Linked DNA regions of Lonchura striata. The protein of the gene in region 2 purifies or fractionates together with the protein of the main gene of each other region. This does not show direct contact. Links are inferred from orthologs where the notes say so. Each region holds a gene or a part of one and is shown on either strand. Other genes may lie near its edges.

The links. The genes of interacting proteins can lie anywhere in the genome.
Region 1: the proteins of caspase-10 (region 2) and FASLG purify together in Homo sapiens (co-immunoprecipitation; 3 studies listed by BioGRID and IntAct, with this or other methods). This does not show direct contact. The link is inferred for Lonchura striata from reciprocal best matches to the Homo sapiens genes CASP10 and FASLG.

What each region holds. Positions count from the first base shown.
Region 1 is NC_134611.1:357,481-367,956, reverse strand, and holds FASLG (tumor necrosis factor ligand superfamily member 6), read left to right. Parts: upstream 1-6,202; 5' UTR 6,203-6,254; coding exon 6,255-6,608; intron 6,609-6,935; coding exon 6,936-6,981; intron 6,982-7,064; coding exon 7,065-7,093; intron 7,094-7,895; coding exon 7,896-7,920; intron 7,921-8,658; coding exon 8,659-9,053; downstream 9,054-10,476. UniProt on the Homo sapiens protein: Cytokine that binds to TNFRSF6/FAS, a receptor that transduces the apoptotic signal into cells. Involved in cytotoxic T-cell-mediated apoptosis, natural killer cell-mediated apoptosis and in T-cell development.
Region 2 is NC_134610.1:27,086,026-27,096,105, forward strand, and holds the start of caspase-10, read right to left. Parts: upstream 4,524-10,080; 5' UTR 4,204-4,523; intron 3,207-4,203; 5' UTR 3,170-3,206; coding exon 2,856-3,169; intron 2,713-2,855; coding exon 2,613-2,712; intron 2,048-2,612; coding exon 1,912-2,047; intron 1,079-1,911; coding exon 990-1,078; intron 1-989. UniProt on the Homo sapiens protein: Involved in the activation cascade of caspases responsible for apoptosis execution. Recruited to both Fas- and TNFR-1 receptors in a FADD dependent manner. May participate in the granzyme B apoptotic pathways.

The DNA of each region.
Region 1 (10,476 bases), on a different chromosome or scaffold from region 2:
TCAAACTTGTGGCTTACATTCTTTGCAAAGGACTAGTCTTAAATTTTCAGCCCAGGACTAGGACATGGGATCTTTTGGGCATAGTAAGGAGTTCATAAACTTGTCGGCCTACATATGTTTTTCTGTTTAAATAAAGAAAAGTGTGGGGGAGTGGATTCTGAGGGCTGAGTGGTGCTTTGTCTGAAAGGTCAGGAATTGTGGGCCTGTGAAACTGCTGGAGAGGTTTCCAGCAGTCAGTTCACACCTTGTCCTGGGGCATCCCTGCACATGGTGGTACACTGTGAGAAGAACTGCATGAAATGACTTCTTGCTACTCAGAGCTAAGGCTTATGAAGGGTACAGGAGGCCCTGAAAGGAAAGAGAGTCATTATCTCAAACCAGAGTATTATCTCAAACCAGAGTTTTCAGCTTGAAGTTTGCCCCTTATTGGTCCCTCCCCCCTGACTTATTTCTGTCAAGCCCAGCAGGATTTGTGCAGCCAAATGCCAGATTCACAGGCTGGCCAGCATCTGCTTGTCAGAGGAGACCTCCCCAGCACTGAGTTTTCACTTGAGTGTCTCAGGACTCTGCTTCATCACAGAACTAGGATTTAAAAATATAATTGAATGTGGAGTTTGCTGAGGGAGGAGTGTGCAGGGTGTTTTGGGGGGTGGGGAAGTGTGGGTTTCTTTTATTTACTCCTTCCTCTTGTTATGTCACTTGTTAGAAGTGTGTATACCTTTATTGCCCAGGGGTTTTCAGTAGGAATTACCTGAAGCTGGACATGACCGAATTCTTAAACAGCCCTTCTTAAAGCAGACACTGGCTATGAACTAGAGAACTCCCAGCTCTATCCTGTGCTGATAAATGGGACTGCATGTTGAAATCCCAATCACATATTCAGATTTCCAAGTTGACAATTGCAGATGTAAAACCAAATGTAATTCTAATCTGGTCCCTTAATACCCTGCTCCCTCTATACTGGGCCTGACTTAGGTCTAAGGAATTGATGCATTCTGTGGAAAGGTACCAGTGATAAAGCTTGTCCTGTAATGAACACGTGGGCAGTGTGCCATGGAAATAAAGCATCCGAAGGAACCTACTGGCCCAATTATGGTTTTGCAGACTTGAGAGTGTGTTCTGGTAAGAAATTGGAGATTGAACCACAGATTCCACCTGCTACTGCCACGCTGCTTTTAGTAATCTTTTAACTTCCTTTAAAAAAATTACCATCAGGTAAGAGATTGCCTAATGTTTTCCTTTCATGTGGGCTCTTGAGTAATTTTTTACTTTCAGTTTTAATAATGTCATGCAATCTTGCTTTCAAAATTTGGTTCTATGGAATCAAGTCTCTTAAATTGGTTATTAACTTTATGTAGAAATAATAATTTCTAATGAAGACAGTTTATACATCAGAAATTCCTGTGTGACTGTCTCATTATTGCAAGCAAAGGTTGGACAGCTGTTGGTGTAAAACACCTAAAAGCAAAGTGTGTGCTGGAGTGAGGATGGTGTCCCTCAGTCCTTGGGCAGGTCCTGTGAAGGTTTCCATGTGAGGGTGGATGGGTGCAAACACACCTGGTGTAAGTGCATTGCTGTGTTTGCCAAAGTAAGGTGTTCATATACATTCAATATCAGTGGAAATCCAGGCTTTCTTGAAGATGCAGACCCTACCAGCCTGTGTGGTGATGTAAGCAGAAAACTCAGATCTGAGGTGGTGTGTGGCTTCTGCTTTTGCCAAGTTACAGCACGAGGTGGAACAGCTTAGCAGGTTTTGCTTTGTGAGGTACAAAAATGTTCCACTTCATTTGGAACAGAGAAGTGGAGAGCCCTGCCCACGGGGTGCTGTGGGGTGTCTCATCTCCTGGAAACCCTGAGTGTCCAACAGCAGCTGCTGCTGGGCTTGGTGACAGCTCCAGGGCCTCTTCCCACAGGTGACAGCTCAGTGCGGAAGCTCACTCACCTTGACAGCCCTTCTCCAATTTAAGCAGAATGGATTTGGAAGAAGCTTCCAAGGAGGCTCCTGCTGCCTTGCTGCTCTCTGGTCCTGAACAGGGGCTGGCCCTTGCTCTGCTGCTTTCCACTGAGTCACCAGGAGCTCCCACGCAGCAGGGCAGCTTTTGGGAGGCGATGCAGAGGAGCTGAGCTCTGCCCCTCGTGGACCTAGAGATGGAACAGAAACGTTTGCCACCTTGGGGCCAGTTTTTCTGCCCTGTTAGATGTGGTTGGAGCCTCCGTCCAGCTGCGGTGCCCTCTGTGAGCTCGCAGCAAACAGCAGCCCCTGTCTGCTGCTTCTCTTTTCCCAGAAAAATAACTGGAAGCAGCTTCTGTGAGTTGTAATGCCACAGTTACCGTTTTGTTTGAATGGGCTGAGGCTGGCTGCTCCCAAGAAGAAATAAACCTGTCAAGCACCAGGCAAGCCCCCCTGGCCAGCAGAGCCAGCTGCTGTTTGCCAGGGCTGGGGCTGGCTTTGTGCCCAGAGGCTGGGGCAGGGCACAGACCCTGCAGAAGGGCTTGGGAATGAGACCCTTGGCAATGTCTGTCCTCCCTTCAGCTGCGGGGACAGGGACTCAACACCTGCACTTCTCTTGGTCTTCCTCACAGCTGGCCACAGCACCTTGTTCTGTTTTGCCCTGTGGCACCATGGAATGACCCTGCTGCTGTTTCTCAGAATAGATCCCCTGACCTCATAACCACTATACCTCATTTCCCTGCTCTCACCACAAGCACAGAAGAAATGAAAGCAGCAGAGTAATATTTTAGGTACTCCTCTTGTTCTCATCTGCTTCGGGCCCATGTGTTTTCTCTCACCCTGTCTTGCTGAATCCAGGGCTGCTGGCTGCTTGTTGGAATCAGGGTGAAGGAGGGGACAGAGCACCTTGCTCACTGGAAGAGGGATGCGTTAAGCACTGTAATGCCAGGGCAGAGCTGTTATCAGTGGACTTGAAAACCTGTTCTTGTGTGTGAATATCTGAATGTCCTTGTCATGGCTTATATGTGCAACAAATGCTCCTTGCAAGGAGAGCAGTTGTTGAGGAAATGAAGAGCATCACCTGTGTTTGAGAAACCAAACTGTTAATAAACACAGAATAAAGAAAACAACATGAAGATGTTGGTGCTAACTGCAAAGGCTGGGTGAGTTCTGCTATCTTCCACACCCCTCTGAGGCTTCAGCAGATGGAGGCCCACTCCCTTTGAAGGCAGCTCTCACAAGCATTCATACCAGTGTTCAGTCAAAAATCCATCTTTTCGTTCAAACTCCTTCAGATTTGGCTCACAACTCGTGGCTCCTTGGGAAGCTTTTTTATCCTGTGAGATTTAAGAGCTGGAAATCATCCCTCTCTTTACAGGTTTTCCACACGCTGTCCATCCCTCCCGGCCAATCTGCTCTTGAACAGACAAATTTGAACCTCCTTTCTGTCCAACAGTTCCTGCAACTTCTTCCAGAGCCTCTCTGGAGTTGAACAAAGACTTGTGAAGTGATTCCAGGAGTGTCTGTGCTGTCCAGAGCTGTGTGTGAGCTCTCACGGGAGCTTTCCCTGTGGGCTTTCCCTGCTGGAAGCTCATGTCCAGCTGAGGTGCCTCTCAGCTTCAGACTTGTTTTCTTTCTAGCACATTGTTTTCTACCCAAAGAGCTTGATCTTCAGTCTTTGTTCCTTGCCTTGTTTTCTTCTGATTCAATTCTCTGTCCTAATGATGTTGAATCCTGTGTTTTTGAATGTGAATGATTCTCAACTTTCCCAGTTGCTCTTGGGTGCACTTCCTGCGGCTTTCAAGAGCTGCTTTTTACCATTTCCACTAGTCATTAGTGTAATAGGAAATAGTTGTTAATTGCTTCCAGAGAGACTGTCCAAAACACAGTGAGAGCCTCTCCTACACAGAGGTTCACACTTCAGTTTTTGTTTTGAGTTTCAGGGTTTATTTTCTGTCAAGTATTAGATCTGGATCATTGTTCAAGTCCTGCTTTCTTCGGGCTGTTTCAGGCAGGTCCCTAAATTCTGCTGATACAAACTCTTAGCTGCTGGCTGATTCTCTGCCATCAACTTTAACATAATTGTGTGTCTTGTTAATAAGAGTTCCCACCTCTCCTCTGCGGGTGAATTGGGGAAGGAGAGTGTTCTTCTGAGCAAATCCTCTTTTGCAGTCTGTGTAATGTTTTTGTTGGTTTGGTAAAGGGGAACAATTTCTGGTGAGGGCTATGGAAGGTGCTTCCATTGGAAAATATTCCTTCATGTTCAAGTGATGTAACAGGGCTGCTGGAAACAGGGTGTACAGACAGGTTCAAGAGGGGGATAGGGTGGTGGAGGCAAATCTGACACCCCTTTTGTCCTCCTTTATGCCCTGTTTTCCTGCCCAGCTGTCCTTGTTAGGATGGCCTCAGCCTTGTCTAAATTCTGGCTCTAGGCCTTCTAGCAAAATTCACGTGCCTGAAGTGCCCACCTACAGCAAATTGTCCTGCCATTATTTCAGTGGTCCTGTTCATATCCTGTGTCATTTGAGCATTGAAGCCAGCAGAACACAGAGCCTGCAGGCACCACAACCTGCTTTCTTTTTTGGACTAGAGGATTTCCAGAGGTCCCTTCCACCCCCAGCCATCCTGTGGCTCTGGGATTCTGATGTGCTCTGCAGACACAGCCCTGCCTGGCACCACCTCCCAGTCAGTGTCTGGCATCTTGTGGTGTCTGAAGGGGGTGGCAGGAAAACGGAGAGTGACAGCAGGGCCAGCAGAGGGAGAGGTCCCTGAAAGCATTTTGTGCACTAAGCATTTTTGATGGTAAAACAGCCCCAACCTTTGGTTTGCCACCACATGGGGTGTTAGCAGGATCTTGGGCTCTTCATCTGGGCATCCAAAAAAGAAGGTGCAGCTGAAATTGCTTCAGTTGGTTTCCTTGTCTCTCCCTCTCACCCTCCCTTTAAAAAACATCTTTGTGAAAGCGGGAAGCAGTGGGTGTGGAGTAAGAATACTAGTGACATTTAAGGGAAACTGCTACTCTCTCCTCAGTCCCACCTCAACAAGCTGTTGGCATTAACACAGTGTCAGAAAAATGTGGAATGGATCCTCTCCAGGCAAAGCCATAGTGTGACCCTCTCTTGTAATGGCTGTGGGAGGGGATGGGGACTTGGGTGGCTGTTCTGGGACAGAGACAGGGGGACTGAGCCAGGCTAGGCACAACCAAGCTTGAACTTGTTAGGGTTGGATTTCTTCTGCTCTTGTGTCTCTTAAACCCTGAAGTGTGAGGAAGAGCTAGATGGAGTTGTTGAAACCTGTAATGTGGATGGCTGCTGAAGCAAAAGGCTGGTGAATATCTCCAAAAAGCAGTGGGGTGTCTGGTGGTGCAAGACATTGTCAGCACATCTGATTTATTGGTGTGGTTGCAGGCAAAGCTGAGCCCTTGCTTCAGAGAAACAAGTGTACAAAGGTTTGAATGTGCCTTTTACAGATCCCAGTTTTGATGTTCAAGATCAAAGTCTGTGTATTGTGATTGCTTCCTTCAGCCACAGGAGAAATTAATCTCTGGTTTGCTCTTGTATTAATCATTTCCTTTTTTTGAACACTACCCCATAAAAATACACACTTCAACAGGGGTCTGTAAAGTGCAAGGAAAAGTGTCCCTAATTGCTTGTGTGCACCTGTAAATCTGTGGGGAAATCTCACTGTCCCCACTTAGAAATCTGCAGTACATGAGGAATGGAAATCGAGAAATGGATATGTCCCTGTCTCTTTTCATTAGGGTATTGTAACGAGCTCTTGAAAGTGCTGCTCCTTTCGGCATGGTCCGGACTCTCTATTTTTCCTCGGAAGGTGAGAGGGCAGCCGCGGAGCTGGCTCTGCTCCCGCTGGGGCAGCTCTGCCCGCCTGCCTTCCTGCCCTCCGAGGCTTTGAGAGCTCCGTGCGCTGCGGAGCTGCGGGCTGGCCGCCAGGAACGGAGCGACCCCCGCATCCCCCGGGCTCGGCTCCGCATCCCCCGGGCTCGGCTCCGCATCCCCGGCCCCGGGGGCTCCCCCGCTCCGCATCCCCGGCCCCGGGGGCTCCCCGGCTCCGTGCCTCCCGTGCGGTGCGGGGTCCGGAGGCTTTGCCGTTCCTGCGGCCGGCCGGACCCGCCGGCGGTCGGGAGTGCGGAGGCAGCGGCCCGGGCGCTTTTGGGGAGCGGCTGCGGCTGTCGGAGCGGGGCTGTGGGAGGAGGGTGGCTCCCGAGCCCCAGCCGGGCCGGAAGGGGCTTTGCTGCCGATGCTGCGAGGCTTTCGGAGTCGCAGCATCCCTCGCAGCCGCACGGATGCAGCCGTACCAGGGCAGAGCCGCCCCCGGGGCTGGCCCGGCGGGGCTCGGGCGCCGCAAGGACGAGCCCGGCAGGCAGGTCCGGCCCGTGCCGCTGCCGCCCGTGCAGCAGAACCTCAATTATTACCCGCAGATCTTCTGGGTGGACGGCTGTGCCGATGCTGGGGCTGCCCCCGCCGCTCCCTTCCCGCCGCCCGTCCCCGACCGGAGCACAAAGCCACGCAGCGACCGGGAAAGGAGAAGTGTCGGCTTCCTCGTCATGTTCTTGCTGATCCTGGTGGCCTTCACCGGAGTGGGGCTGAGCATATTTAAGATTTTTCACCTGGAGAAGGAGGTGGATGAACTCCGAGAGGTGAGGTCTGCCTGGCTGGGAGCAGGTCCCTGGGGAAACGGGGAAAAGGAACTCTTGGAACGGGGCTGAGATGTTCCCAAGGGGCAGGATGGGGGCATTTCGGTGGCATTTCTCTGTCTGCTTGTTCCCGTGAGGGACTGCTCGGTTGGTGACTGATTTATCAGCACATCTCTGTGCTCCCGAGCGCTGCCAGCTCTCTCCCCGTGTATTTCTTAGCACTTTGCAGCTCCCCGTGGAGCCAAAACACCAGACTGAGCCACTGTCCAAGGCAGTCCCCAGCTGCTCATGCTCTCAGTCTAAGCCATTGTCCCTCTTCTCTCTTGCCAGTCTGCCAGCGCTGAGCACATCCCTCCAGTCTCTCAGAAACTCACAGGTGAGTCCGTGCCTGCAGGAGGAACCCTCAGTGAAATTGAAACTTTCCACAAGAACCTGCCAATTCTTCTAGATTTCATTTAGGGAAAAAAAAAAAAAAAAAAAAAAGAGAGGTTTCAATTTGGCTGGAACAATTTAAGAATTGTGGTTTGAACTTCCAAACTATTGCTTTTCTTTTGCATTCCATGTTAATGTTATAAGTGAGGATATCCTTTTCAAAAATGACCAAGTCAGAAAGAGATATTCAGTCCTCTAGACAGCTTTTTCTAGATCTGAAAAGTTTTCATCTTTTCCCCCTTGAGAATTTTATTAATTAGAAAATTTATTTTCAAATTTGTTCTGATACTGAATAAAAAAAACCCTGAAATAGCAAAATTCTTGGGAAAGGGAAGTCCTGGTTCTTATCAACTCCTATGCCAATAAATTTTCCTCTTTAGGGGAAGGTGAGCTCTCATTTGAACTGCAATGCCCAGTGCTCTGATCACAGGCTTCTTTAGCAGAGACTGAACATAAATAATAAACCTGAATTTCTTGAGGCAGCTGGATAAAGGGAAATAGTGTAAAGGAGAAGGGGGAGCGGAGAGGAAAATTTAATTGGCTTCTGAAAAGAAAAGGCTGCTTCTGAAATTAGAGAAGATGAAGTAGATGTTGAGGAGAAGTGAAGGGATGGAGTGGGATGGGCTCCAAATACAGAGTCACTGGAATGGGCCCATCTCTCCAAAGGGAACTCAGGCCTGCAGGGCAGGCAGAGCTTTCCCAGCTGTGCTCTCCCTTCCTGAGGGCAGCTCCACTCCCCGCCTGGCAGTGGGATGGAGGCTTTGCAGGGTCTCAGGTGCCCCCTGCTCTCTGGGCTGACTCCTCCGTGGAGCTTGTGGCCAATGTCTTTTCTATCTTTGTGCAGGGCAGGGGAAGGAGGTGAGGAGGGCAGCCCATGTAACAGGTACGTGCTGGGGGAGCAGGGCTGGGCAGTGGGATGGGCTCAGGGGTGCCATGGCAGCCGGGATGGCCTCTGATGGTGCCATGGCAGCTGGGATGGGCTCAGGGGTCCATGGCAGCTGGGATGGGCTCAGGGGGTGCAATGGCAGCTGGGATGGGCTCAGGGGTCCATGGCAGTGGGATGGGCTCAGGGAGGGTCCCATGGCAGCCGGGATGGCCTCTGATGGTGCCATGGCAGCTGGAATGGGGTCAGGGGTCCCATGGCAGCTGGGATGGGGTCAGGGGTCCATGGCAGCTGGGATGGGCTCAGGGGGTGCCATGGCAGCTGGGATGGGCTCAGGGGTCCATGGCAGTGGGATGGGCTCAGAGAGGGTCCCATGGCAGCTGGGATGGGCTCAGGGGTGCCATGGCTGGCGTTATGAGGAGCCCACCCCACAGAGGCTTTGCTGTCCTCCTTGGGTGACATGTCTGCTCTGACAGTGGAAATTTGCTCCTCAGACAGAACCCTCCCCCTCACTTATGCTTCTCAGCAAAACCTGGCTCTGGCTTGGTTTTTGGGGTGTGCAGGGCAGGAGGTGGCACTGGAGCTGGCACTGGTGAGGGGTGAGGCCTGGGAGGACTTCCCACACTGCAGACAAGGCTTGGAGAACGGCTGCCTCGTGACGTGGGGTGCGACCTGAGCAAAAACCACCCGACCCAATGTGCTTCCCACCATTTTGTTGGGTCTCGTTTTGGCTTCCAGGCAACCCAGCCCAGCGGGACCTGCCCCTGGAGTGGGAGCCCACCTCTGGCCATGCCTACACCAGCGGCATCCAGTACCGGGACCGGGGGCTGCTGGTCAGCGAGGCGGGGCTCTACTTCGTGTACTCGCAGGTGCTGTTCCGCGGCAGCGCCTGTGACAGCCACCTCCTGTCCCACGTGGTGTACAAGAGGAACCCGGCCTCCCCGGGCAGCCTCGTGCTCATGGAGGACAAAGCCACCAACTTCTGCAAGGACCAGAGGATGTGGGCCCGCAACAGCTACCTGGGGGCTCTCTTCAAGCTCAGGAAGATGGACAGCTTGCACGTCAACGTCTCCAAAATCGCCCTGGTGAACTTTGAGGAATCCAAGACTTTCTTTGGTTTGTTTAAGCTTTGAAAGGGAGCGTGGCTGGCAGCCCCTTCACACACCCACACCCACACGGATGTGTGAGGGCTGAGTCCTGCCTGGGCACCACAAAACCCAGCCAGAAACCGTGTTTGGGCTTCAGCACGAGGGGATCCAAGCAACTGGGAAAGGCTTGAAAGCGGACACCTGGAAAGCACCAGGCTGTGCTGCATCAGCCTGAAGAGAATTGCACATATTCTCCTTACAAAAACCCCAACAAACTCAGAAAGTGGCGTGCAGAAGACCCTGCTGGAACTCACTACTGCCTGAGAAGATGGTGGGATCTGCTGCTCCCCGTGGTGTCACAGCCCTGGTGGGGACAGCTGGGGGGTGTTATGGAGGTGTCTGGGTCGTGCCACGACACCACAGACAGTGGTGTGGGGATGAGCAGTGTGAACAACTGCTCCCCTTGAGCCATGGCAGGCGCTGCCCAGCACTGTGGGACTGCTGTACCACAGGCAGCTCCTGCTGTCTGGGCTGGGATAGGTGCTGTGTTCATTTGGTGTTAAGCTATGGACCGTTCCCAACCCAGAAAATGCTCCCCAACCACTTTATTTAACTCATCCCAGCTGCCTTGCAAGGAACATGCCAGCAGCAGCAGTGCCCTGAGGGATGTCCCAGAGGTGGCAGCGTGACCACCCCATGGTGGTGGGGATGGTGGGGTGGCCACGGGCTCTGCTGGTGCAATCTAAGCAACACAGCAGCGCAGGGCAGTGGGGCTTGAGGTGGAAGCAGCATCTCGAGCCCCCCTGCTGCCCTTTCAGCACAGGAGGGTTCTCCATGGAGGCCTGGTCTGCCAGCCCTTTCCTGATGCAGCTGGTGACATGCTGGCACCTGTCTTTGGCTGGGTCCTTGCCATGAGATATTCCCTCCTGAGAAAAACACAGATAGTAAATATATATTTTTCTAGTGAGTGGTCCTCTCCTCATTTGGTGCAACAGGCTGGGCCATGGCCAAAGCACTGCAAAGCCTCTGTGATCAGGGGTCAGTGCCTCATTCCTTCTCCAGCAGCGTGGCAGAAATCTGGGAGCCTCATCCCTCTTTGCTGCCCACTTGGCACTGCACAAGGCCCTTTCCATGAGGCTTTGGAGCTCCAGCACTGAAACAGCAGGATCTGGGGCTGGGAAGGTGTGGTGTGGGCAGCACAGAGCAGGCAGCCCGAACCCATGCTGGCCACCAGGAAGGGCTGAGCTCAATTCAGAGCTGGAGAGGAGCTGGGCACTGGTGGCTGAGCAGAAGTGCTGCTGCCTGTCTCCAAAGGCACCACTGTGTGACCTCTGGCCCCAGAAACACTTCTCACAGAGTGGTCTAAGGGCAAAGAAACAAAGTGGTGTAAAAAAAAACCCCAGAGCCTATTTGTTCATCCTGGTGTCAGCCCCACGGAGTTCTAACCCCGGGGTTGTCACTGCCCCTG
Region 2 (10,080 bases):
GAAAAGGATGGAAGCAGAACAGCAATCTCAGAAGTACATAAACCTATCACACTACAAGTTTTTTGGTTAAGATTTAAAATTACCTCCCACTTTTAAAAAGAAAACAAAACCAAAAGCATTTTTAAAGCTGAAAAGAACCAACATTTCAAGTAACATGAATTTAAGTCCAACCTTGGGTTGCAATAAAAAACTCCATCCACCAGAGTCCCTTCCTCCTCACTAGAGAGCAATACACACCTCCTTTTGTGCATTTTAGTAGGAGAAAATGAAGGAAGCACTCCAAGTTCCTTCAACAGCTTTGCAGCAGTCTGAACATCAGGTGATGAAAAGATGTTACAGCACAGAACTTCAAGAAATTAAATGGCTATAAACAAATGGAGCAACTTGCTTTTTCAATATCCATGGTCGTCACAAAGAAAAGGCCAGAGGGAGAATTCAATGGTTACACTGCTATGGTTAAAGAGTGCACATAAAGGCCTGTAAGAGGGGATCTCACAAAAAGGATCTTTTCTCATATACCAAGACCTCTGCAATAGCTTACTAAAAACTCTGGCCTCCTTTTAATCCTTCTAACAAAGGCTTTGCATGCTACCCCTTATGACTTCTAATTTCAAGATGCCCTGAGGCTGTTTTGAAACCAGATGCAAAAAGTGAGAACTGTGAAACTCCATTTGTCTCTGTGTCTTGCACGTTCTACTGCCATCACCAAAATGCAAAATGTTTTGCCTTTATCAGGAAGATAAACACTGATGTGTGAATCACTTCAGAGGTATTATGTCCATTTTGCCTACAAGATACCTTTCAATATTGCTAAATCTCTGGCCTCCAAGGTTAAAATATTCTTTGAAACATTCAAATTTATCAGTCAACTCAAGAAACTTTATGAGCCTGATATTTCACAAGCCCTTGCATGATAAATGTCATTCAAGGGAGGATGAAAACCTCACACCCGCAGGTATTCAAAAAGGATTTAAGAGATTGTCTCAAACCTTGGGTTCATTTTCTACATTGCTGAATTCTCCACGCAGCTCCAGGTTTAGCTCAGAGAAGCTTTGTGTAAAATTAGTTTTCTTGTTATCTAGAAAAAACCCCAGCATAGGTATTTATGAAGATAAATCCAATATTTGTGGATGCAACAAAAAGGAGTTTAGCTACAATACATCACTTTTTGTATTTGAAATACTCTTTCACTGAAAGAAATAATTATTCCATACAAAATAGCATGGTCATGTTCAATAGATCTATTCTGATATTCTAGATCTATTTTTTGCTTATTTTTATTAGATGTATTTTTGTAACAAAGGCAAGGCTTCTATTTGTATCGATACTGCAAATTAAAGATACCCATGGTACAAGGATAAATTCTCCAAGACATTCAAATAAATTTTTCATCTGGAAATCATCTTAGAAATTACCAGTATTTAAAAAGAATATGCCTTCTTACTACTGAAGTTGTCAATTTTTCTCATTAATCAATAATAAATCTATTTTTTAAAAATATAAAACCATAAATAATTTGTTTGCTCATAGCCCATGTATCAGACACACATAAACCCACACAGTGTGTCTTGCCAGATTCACATTCACAGATCCCCAAGTGCCTTTTACAGGACAGTTGTCATCATCTCAATACTATTAGTGGGGAAATGGACAAATGAGACATAACTATCAGCAGATTTTCAGTTTCCCACCCTGTTCTGTATGTGCTCTGGGTTGCTCAGATATTCCAGCACATCCCTTTATTTCAGGGATTCAGCTAGGAAATTATGCAGGCTTGGAGTTGTTATGCCAGATTTATGCCACTCTAGCTCCCATTTAGCAATACACACATATGACCTTAAGTTCAGTAGCCCAGACCCATAGTACTTCCTGCATTTTAGCAAACCTGCTCCTAGACAATCAATTTCTCACCTTTTCCCTTTTTGTAGCAGTTTATTGTCTCCAGGAGATCAGGTGAAACAGTCATACAGACCTCCTCCAGTATCTTTACATTGTCTGTAGTTAAAAGGCCCTGCTTTTCCAATAAAGTCAGCAAATCCAAAGCAGACTGACAGCCAAAAGGAGAGAGTAAAATATAATTATTGTTCTTTAGAAATCAAAGCTTGCCTCTCAGCCCTGTCTCAAACAATCACATTATTATCTGCTTTGCTCCCTACCAACAAGGACCAGTCAATTTTACATCACCATTACAGCAGAAATGTTGCTTCATGGAAGCCACTGGTTGTGTTTTTATTTGGTATGGTCTTGTTTAAACAGATTCACCCAAACCGTATTAATGGCTCGTGGCTTCAAGAAGGCTTCAATGCTGTGAAACTACCAATGACATATGGACATCAATCTCCCTTGCATATGGCTCAAGCAGGGCAAAGATTTGATTTGTCACCTTTTTATACTCTGATGCTAGACAGTGAACTGTCAGTGACTGACCTTAGCACGAGGGACCAAATTCTACTCTTGCCTGTCAACATCTTCCTTCCTGCTATCCCTATGAATACAACCAGCCTAGTTGCATATTATGCTCTATTCTGCCAAACACTGCTCACACTTTTTCTTCTATTTCCTGCCTTCCTTCTTCCCTTCCCACCATTTGGCTCATTTGACTCCTCACATACAGGAATTATCCATCCCTTTGGAAGATGGTTTTGCAGGAGGAAAATTATTTCCTTCAACATGTCACTGGTGATGTTCTCTGCCAATTCATACAGCATCTGCCTGTAACAGAGACAGAGTGAGATAAAAGTGGAACAGAAGATGGCATAAAAACCAAAGGCAATCTAAGAATTTAAAAATGGAAAAGAAAACAGTATGGCATAGATAGCAGTAATGGAGGGAAGAGAATTCCACTGCAAGCTTACCTGTATGGAGATATTCTTCCCTTCTCACTCAGATGTTCTTGTACTTTCTCCTTGGTGTAACCAATTTTCTTGAGCAAGGAGTGACATCTAATTCTATATAAGAGTTCAGCTAGTAGGAAAGTATCTTCTGCATTCAGATATTCTTGAGCCATAAGGAGCTTGAAGATGTCTGTTGCTAACTTCACACCTTCTAGTCTACTGAGGTGGAGCAAGTCAGTACAGAGAAATTTTAAAGCTGCTACATCTTCAGTCACCAGACTTTCACTAATAAGAAAAAGCTGCTGATGGAACTTCAAGCTGATATTATTCTCCATGTTGCTGGAACCAACAGCTGAAACAGCTTCTCTCTGACTGAAAGCAGAAAGCAAACACTAGTAACACTTAAATCTTCAATACAGCAATCCTTCTACTAAAATTTTATCCAATGGTTGTTTGGAAGCCCTGAATTATCTTTTAATAAATAAAGGTTTTAAATAAATTTGAAATTTACTTCCTTGTCTAAACACAGAACACAGAAAGACCAGATCTGGCAGAAGCTCTAAACAACCCGGTCTATAATTGAAGTTAGCCCTGCTCTGAGCAAAAAACTGTGCAAGATGACCTCAAGGTCTGAATCTTCTTTTCTTTTGAACATCTTCCACATTCAGATCTTTGCGTCTTTCTGTTGTAATGGGGAAGAGTCCCTGCAGTAACTTATTACAACTATTAATGGAGACAGCACAGTAGTTTGTGCATATTCCTTGATCTGCAGTCCAAGAGCTTGTTCTCTGGCTGTACCAGGAAGGTGTTCCTCTGTTACAAGGCTGACACCCAAACAGAAGCTGTGGAATAACCATCCACTCCCAGCTGTAATTTGCTTCCGGATTGTATTTGACAGTTGGCATAGAAAACCCCTTATAAGCCTCCCTTACAAGTAACTGGCAGTTAAAATGTAATAGCACTCAATGCTCAGTCTAAATAGGCTCTGCACAAGCAACTCTCTCTTACTCAGGTTTAACAGAGACTAATCGACTTTCTACTACACCGACTTCTTCCATGGAGCCTAGGCAGTTCAATTCTGCCCGTGGAAGGTTAAATAGATAAGAAGGTGCTCCAGTGCCTTCTAACTGGTAGATCTTCAATTTTTTGCTTATAGCAATTAGAAGCAAAGGTTTCTACAAGGGGGAGCACAATCAGTGCAGGATCTGCTCGCTGCCCAGGCTTGGAGCGGCTCACCCGCATATCCACAGCTGCCTCGGGGCATCGACACAGAAAAGTAACCAGTCCGCATCTCTGATGTATGCTTTCAGATATCGCCTCAGAAAAGGAAAATCGTATGAAATAAGCAGGATAGGAATTGTAAAATTACCTTTGCTTTAAGCTTTGTATCTGGCCGGAGCAGTGCCCCGCGGGTTAAGCCCGAGGCAAGGCGGAGCGCGCGAACCGCAGCCGGGCCCGCCGGCGCACGTGGGCAGGAGCGCCCCGAGGAGCGCGCAGCCGGGAGCCACCGCACAACGCGAGCGACGGAGCCTTCCTGCGAGCCCTCTCCCCTTCAGCCCCACGCTCTGGTACCTCTCACACGAGTTCCAGTCCCGATCCCTCTCCCGGCAGCTAGCCGTGCCGGCGGCTCGCGGCTCCCTGCGCGGGCCCTTCTGCGGCTCGCCGCGGGCGGGGGAGGCGTGTCCCGGCTCTGCCCGAGCAGGCGGCGGGAGGCAGCGCCAGCAGCAGGGCGGAATGTGGGAGTGGGGAGTGCGAGGGAAGGAGCGGGCCGCGGCTGCCAGGGCCCGCGAGGCTTCCACCAGGAGCGGCGGCACCGCCCCCTCCCGCCCTGCCGCGCCCGGGAACGGGAAAAGCCTTCAGGCAGCGCCCGGGGTACGAAGTGTAAGACGTGACCCGTAATTCGCCTCGCTTTTGCTGCCAAGCCATGTTAAAGCAGGCTACATCGCAAAAAGGCCTCGAACGTTTTAGGCACATTATTTGAATGTTTGTTTCCCGCTGGAAGGAAGCTTGAAGAGGAGCGCTTGCGGGAGAGGGCTGCAACACCATTTGTACGTGGGGCTGCGTGTCCGTGTCCGCAGCAGTAGAGGGAGGAGGAGGAAGGTGAGCAGACTCTGCTCAGTGCAGGCTCCTTGGGGCCTTCAGCATCTGTATCCCCCACAACCTCGCGTCAGTGGAGGCAGGATGAAAAGTGTCTCCTTGTTCATGCCAAAAGTTGTCCAACACACCGAGAGCAGCTGAGTTACCTGCTGAAACTGTAAGTCTTGCTGTCCTTTATTATGTCAGCTCGTTTTTATAGAACTGTAAACTTCACAGCCTAATTTAACAAGTTATATAGGTCTGCAAGATAAACAGACCAAGAATTTCAGAGTTATCCTATGGCCTAGAGGGAGACAGGGACAATCAGTCTGACTGCATACAGAAATTTTATTCAGAATATCACCATGAAACTGAGCATTTGTATCCAGTCATAGTGTCTTATTATTGTTTCTAATACAGAAGCTGAAAAATAGACATAATTTAAACCAGCCACAGAAAAGCTGTCAAATAATTCAGTACAGGAGATTTAATTTAAATTGAATATAGATCAACCACACAGACAGCAATACTCCTCAGCAATACTGTTCTGCATGTCAGAAACTTAAAACTCTGGAAAACAGAAAATAATTCTCAGAAACTCCCATAAAAAGCTTCTCTGACTCAGGTATATGTAATAGGAGCCACTGTTACTTCTTATGCAGAGTTGAAAGGGGAGATCAGCCATACAACATGCTCCATCTACAAGTTATACCACAGTAACATCCTCTTGAATATAAATTCTATTTTGGATAATGAGCTCAATTTACGGCTCAGCCACATCAGTGTAGGTGGCTGAGAAAAACCATGCAACTCAAGTCTGGTACAAAACACCACTGAATCTCTTGCCTCTTGCATACAGCTTCTGAGCCACTTAAAGACATCACCTTCTATATATGGAGCACATACAGAACTACAAGAAATTTTCTTCCAGTTATCAGAAACCAAAACTGTAATTAAGTGCCAAAGCATTGACTCTGACAGCCTTATTCCAACCTCTGACAATGCAGGAGCAGCGTAACTTGTTTTATCTCCTCCAACAGTATGTTCTGAAAATTAGACATTTTGGCAGTCCAAGACCACGAAATTTCACCAGCTGTATTGAAGATTTAAGTGTTACTAGTGTTTGCTTTCTGCTTTCTCTATGTTCCTGTGCTAACACCTTAAACTCATGATGGATCCAAAATTCTCTCCCCCTTTTTCTTTTGGCTAAAGGATCATTTAACCTGAGATCATTTCACTACCTGCAGTACAGGGACAGCTTGATGCAGTCCACACCCCGCATCCGTTTCTAGACTCAAATTTTATGTGTGCACTACAGCAAGAAGAGACAGGACCCCTCATGTGTATGGAGGGACACAGAAACCTGGTAAGGGTTTTGGAGTGGAGGCCCTCTGAGGAGGGGTTGAGCTCACTTGGCTTGTTCAGCCTGGGGAGGAAGAGGGGAGACCTCACTGCAGTCTTCAACATCCTCATGAAGGGAAGCAAAGGGGCAGAGGTATCAACCACTTGTCTCTGGTGACCACTGACAGGACTTGAGAAATGAAACTGTGTCACGGGAGGGTTAGGGTAGAATTTAGGAAGAGGTTCTTCAATTCTTCATCCAGAGGGTGGCTGGGCACTGGAACAGGCTCCCCAGGGAAGTGGTCACAGCACCAACCCTGACAGAGCTGAAGAAGCTTTTGGAGAACACTCTTAGGCACATGGCGGGATTCTTGGGGTGTCCTGTGCAGGGCCAGGAGTTGGACTCTATGATCCTGATGGGTCCCTTCTAACTCAGCTTATTCTATGAGTCTGTGATCCTATAAGCTATGGGAGAAGTGACAGAAGAGCCATCACAGAAGTCCTGCATAAATACTCACTATGCAGCAGGTACAGGGGATCAGCTTGCTTGAACACCACACTTGAAAGAGGTGCCAAGGCAATAAATACTGCTTAGATGAATGATTATAGATTGCGTATGGCTACGTTTGGGAATCTACAGAGGATCAGTGTAAAAAATCAGTATCTGACACCCATGAATGCTGCACAATACATGTCTATCCCCACAACTCTAGAGGATTATAACCACTTCCAACCAAGCAGCCATGCACAGTGTCCCTTCCTTTTCCACTGAAAGGGTTAATTACATGAGCCTCTAGTTTTCAAAACAGCATTTCTGCATAATTTATTAATGAAAGGGACATGGACTTACTGTCTTGCAGTAAGGCAAAGAACATATATACTTCTTAACCCCCAAACCAAATTTGTCACAAAACTGTAAAAGCAGAATCTATTCTACTACTAATATCTTAAGTAAACAGTTGCATTTAGCATCACTCTAAACCCCCCAACCAACCAGCCCACAAAACATCAACCAACTCACCACATCATTAGAGTCTGTAAAGACAACCACTATTATTCTCACTTCCTTTTTCCCGTTTTCTTCTCCTTCCAATATTGATACTGTATTTCTCATCCAAATCATCTACTTGTTCTTCTCTTGATGCTCCCTACCATTCCCCTTCTTGTTCCTGCTTAAAATTTTCACATTTCTTTTCCTCATCTGCCTCCTGTTGATTCCATTCTCTCTGCTTTTGGTTGTCTATGGGGTAGCAGAAGTGCTTGTCAAATGCAAAAGCTAGTAAAGGAAATGGGAAAGTGAAGTTAATCTGTGAAGAAGATCACATATATTAATATTACTTAGATATATGAAATTTGAAATGACAGCATATTTCTACAAGCACAGGAAACATTTGTTTTACCATTTAGTTTATCTACCAACCACCAGAGGAAGTACCTCCTAAGATTCCACATCTGTCATTCTGTATCCTTCCTTTTTTCCATTAAAAATTTAAACAGAAACCAAGCAAAGCACAGCAGGACCTTGAATTATTTTCCCGCATAGGAGTATATTAGGAGTAAAAATTAAATATTTACAAGTGGCCTACTTTATTGTCACTAAGTTCAGTGACAATAAACTTCAATACAACCCATCCAGGTTATACTGTTATACAAGTAGGCTAACTGAACTTTAAGGCAGTTAACTTTTAGTTAAGCAACTGCTACATTGGAGAAAAAGCTTTGTAATTAGGACAATTTTCCCTTTTCTTTTTTCACAAGAACAAGAGCACTTGGGAAAAAAATGAGTTAATAGAGGCATATTCTTTTTCACAAGCAAATGCGGTAAGGGCGGGGTGTTTAACATAATCCAGTTTTAAAGGCCCATGGCTGCTACATACTACATTTAAGTTGAAATATTTTAAAGTCTCTTTTTACAACTATGCCTGGTACAATGAGTGTGAATCATGTTTCAGCTTCCACAAGACATCTGCCAAAATCTCACATTTTTTTAACTGTGTGGCAGATTACTGTAATGTCCTGTCACATGTAGACTCATTTTGCATCAGCAGAAAACATACTTGGCCCAAAGATGGCAGACTGTCTCATTTATTAACACAGAACCCCCATGTGCTGTGGACAGTTCTAACAATGCAATCTTTAATACAGCAAACAGATGGAATCCAGATTATTGAAAAGACCATCTTTCTCTCCCTTCTGTTTTGCCAGTCTATAGAGGCATGCAAGCCAGAACTTGTTAGCAAAGATCTGGCATTACTGGGTAGGAATGCTTTCCTCAGACATTTGCCACTACTAGGTGCAGGGGAAAGTAATCAATGTGTTTCAGTGGTTTGGGCTGGCTTTTTATTATTTAAGTATTAACTGCTAGAAGGTATGTTAAAAACTACAAATGAAGCAATAAAAATATTTTGTTTTTTCTTGGAAAACCCAACAGCTATACAGTTTAGATCTCTTTACACTCTGTTTACCCGGGGTATTCAGTAACAAGGTATGTTGCACTGCTATACAATAGCTACTATTCTCAACCAAGCTTTCAGAGACTACAGTATTAAAATACAAAATCTAGTGTCTTAGCACACTAAAATGCTTGTAAATTCCTGTGTTTGGCAGCAACAGGCACTTTTGATATACATGAAATAACACATAAATAAAAGTATGGAATCCTGATTACTGAAAAGGGGGAGATCTCTCTCTCCCTTCTGTTTTGACAGTCTATAGAGGCATGCAAGCCAGAATTTGTCAGCAAAGTTCTGGCATTACTGGGTACTTCTTGTTAATAATTTCAGATATGTACTTTCTAACAGCAGTTAAGTGGGGAAAAAAAGTTTCTTCCTCAGTGTGTGCTGGAGCAGCAGTGAGTATTGTTGGCTTGGGTCAACGGTCATATTCCCATCATAAACTTTTTTGTTCAGTTCCATATGGATAGCCAATATACAGCGTTTCCTGCAGCAAAAAAATCAAAAGCATTCCATTAGAGAATGAAGCAAGACACCATTTAAGAATTCACAAGAGAGAAGATAACTTCAGACTCAGCATGGAGAAAGTTTGTAATTTCAGTCTCTACTGCAGAGGTAAAATCTCTAACACACAAGGCTGTACACACACACAAATTTTGAGACAAACTTTTATGACCCAAATCATTGCTGTGACATTGATTATGCTGACATGATGATCTGTGGTTTCATGACAGGGCTTTAGGGCTTGTAAAAAGGTACTAAATGTTAGCACTGTAACTACCTTGAATAACAGTTGTTAGCTCCCTGGTAGATCAGCTATATAAATAAAAACTTTGTTGGTAAGTTATAAAATCTTTGTTGCTAAGTTATATATCCAAATGCCTCTGAGTTTTGCACAGATTCGTTTGGATCTCTTTAATAGACAAAAGTTTTCTGTCAGTTTAAATTCAAGATTACCTATTGGAAATCAATTGGCTCTGTGAAAAAATGGTTAATTAAATTTGGAAATGTAGAAAATCCTTCCCTCTCTACTGCCTTTGTCCTGAACTTAAGTACTGACTGTTTACATTTGCAAGCACAGCTCATCTTAATGGTACATGGCAATCCTCAATTTAACAGAAGCCTGTTTATCTTGGAGAAGGAAGATTTCCAATCCCATCTAAAGCACTGACATACATTATCTAGGACAGGTTCTTCCCTTCTTACTCTGCAAACCCCAATGCCTTAACACACTTTAACTTTATACTGCAAAATCAGAAATTTCATTCCTAGTTTAGGCTACCTTTCTACACAATTTTATGAGGATACTTGTCTTTTGACTATGACACTGCAAGAAAACATATTTCAGGGCCAGATGGTTTGAAATTTAAGGTTTC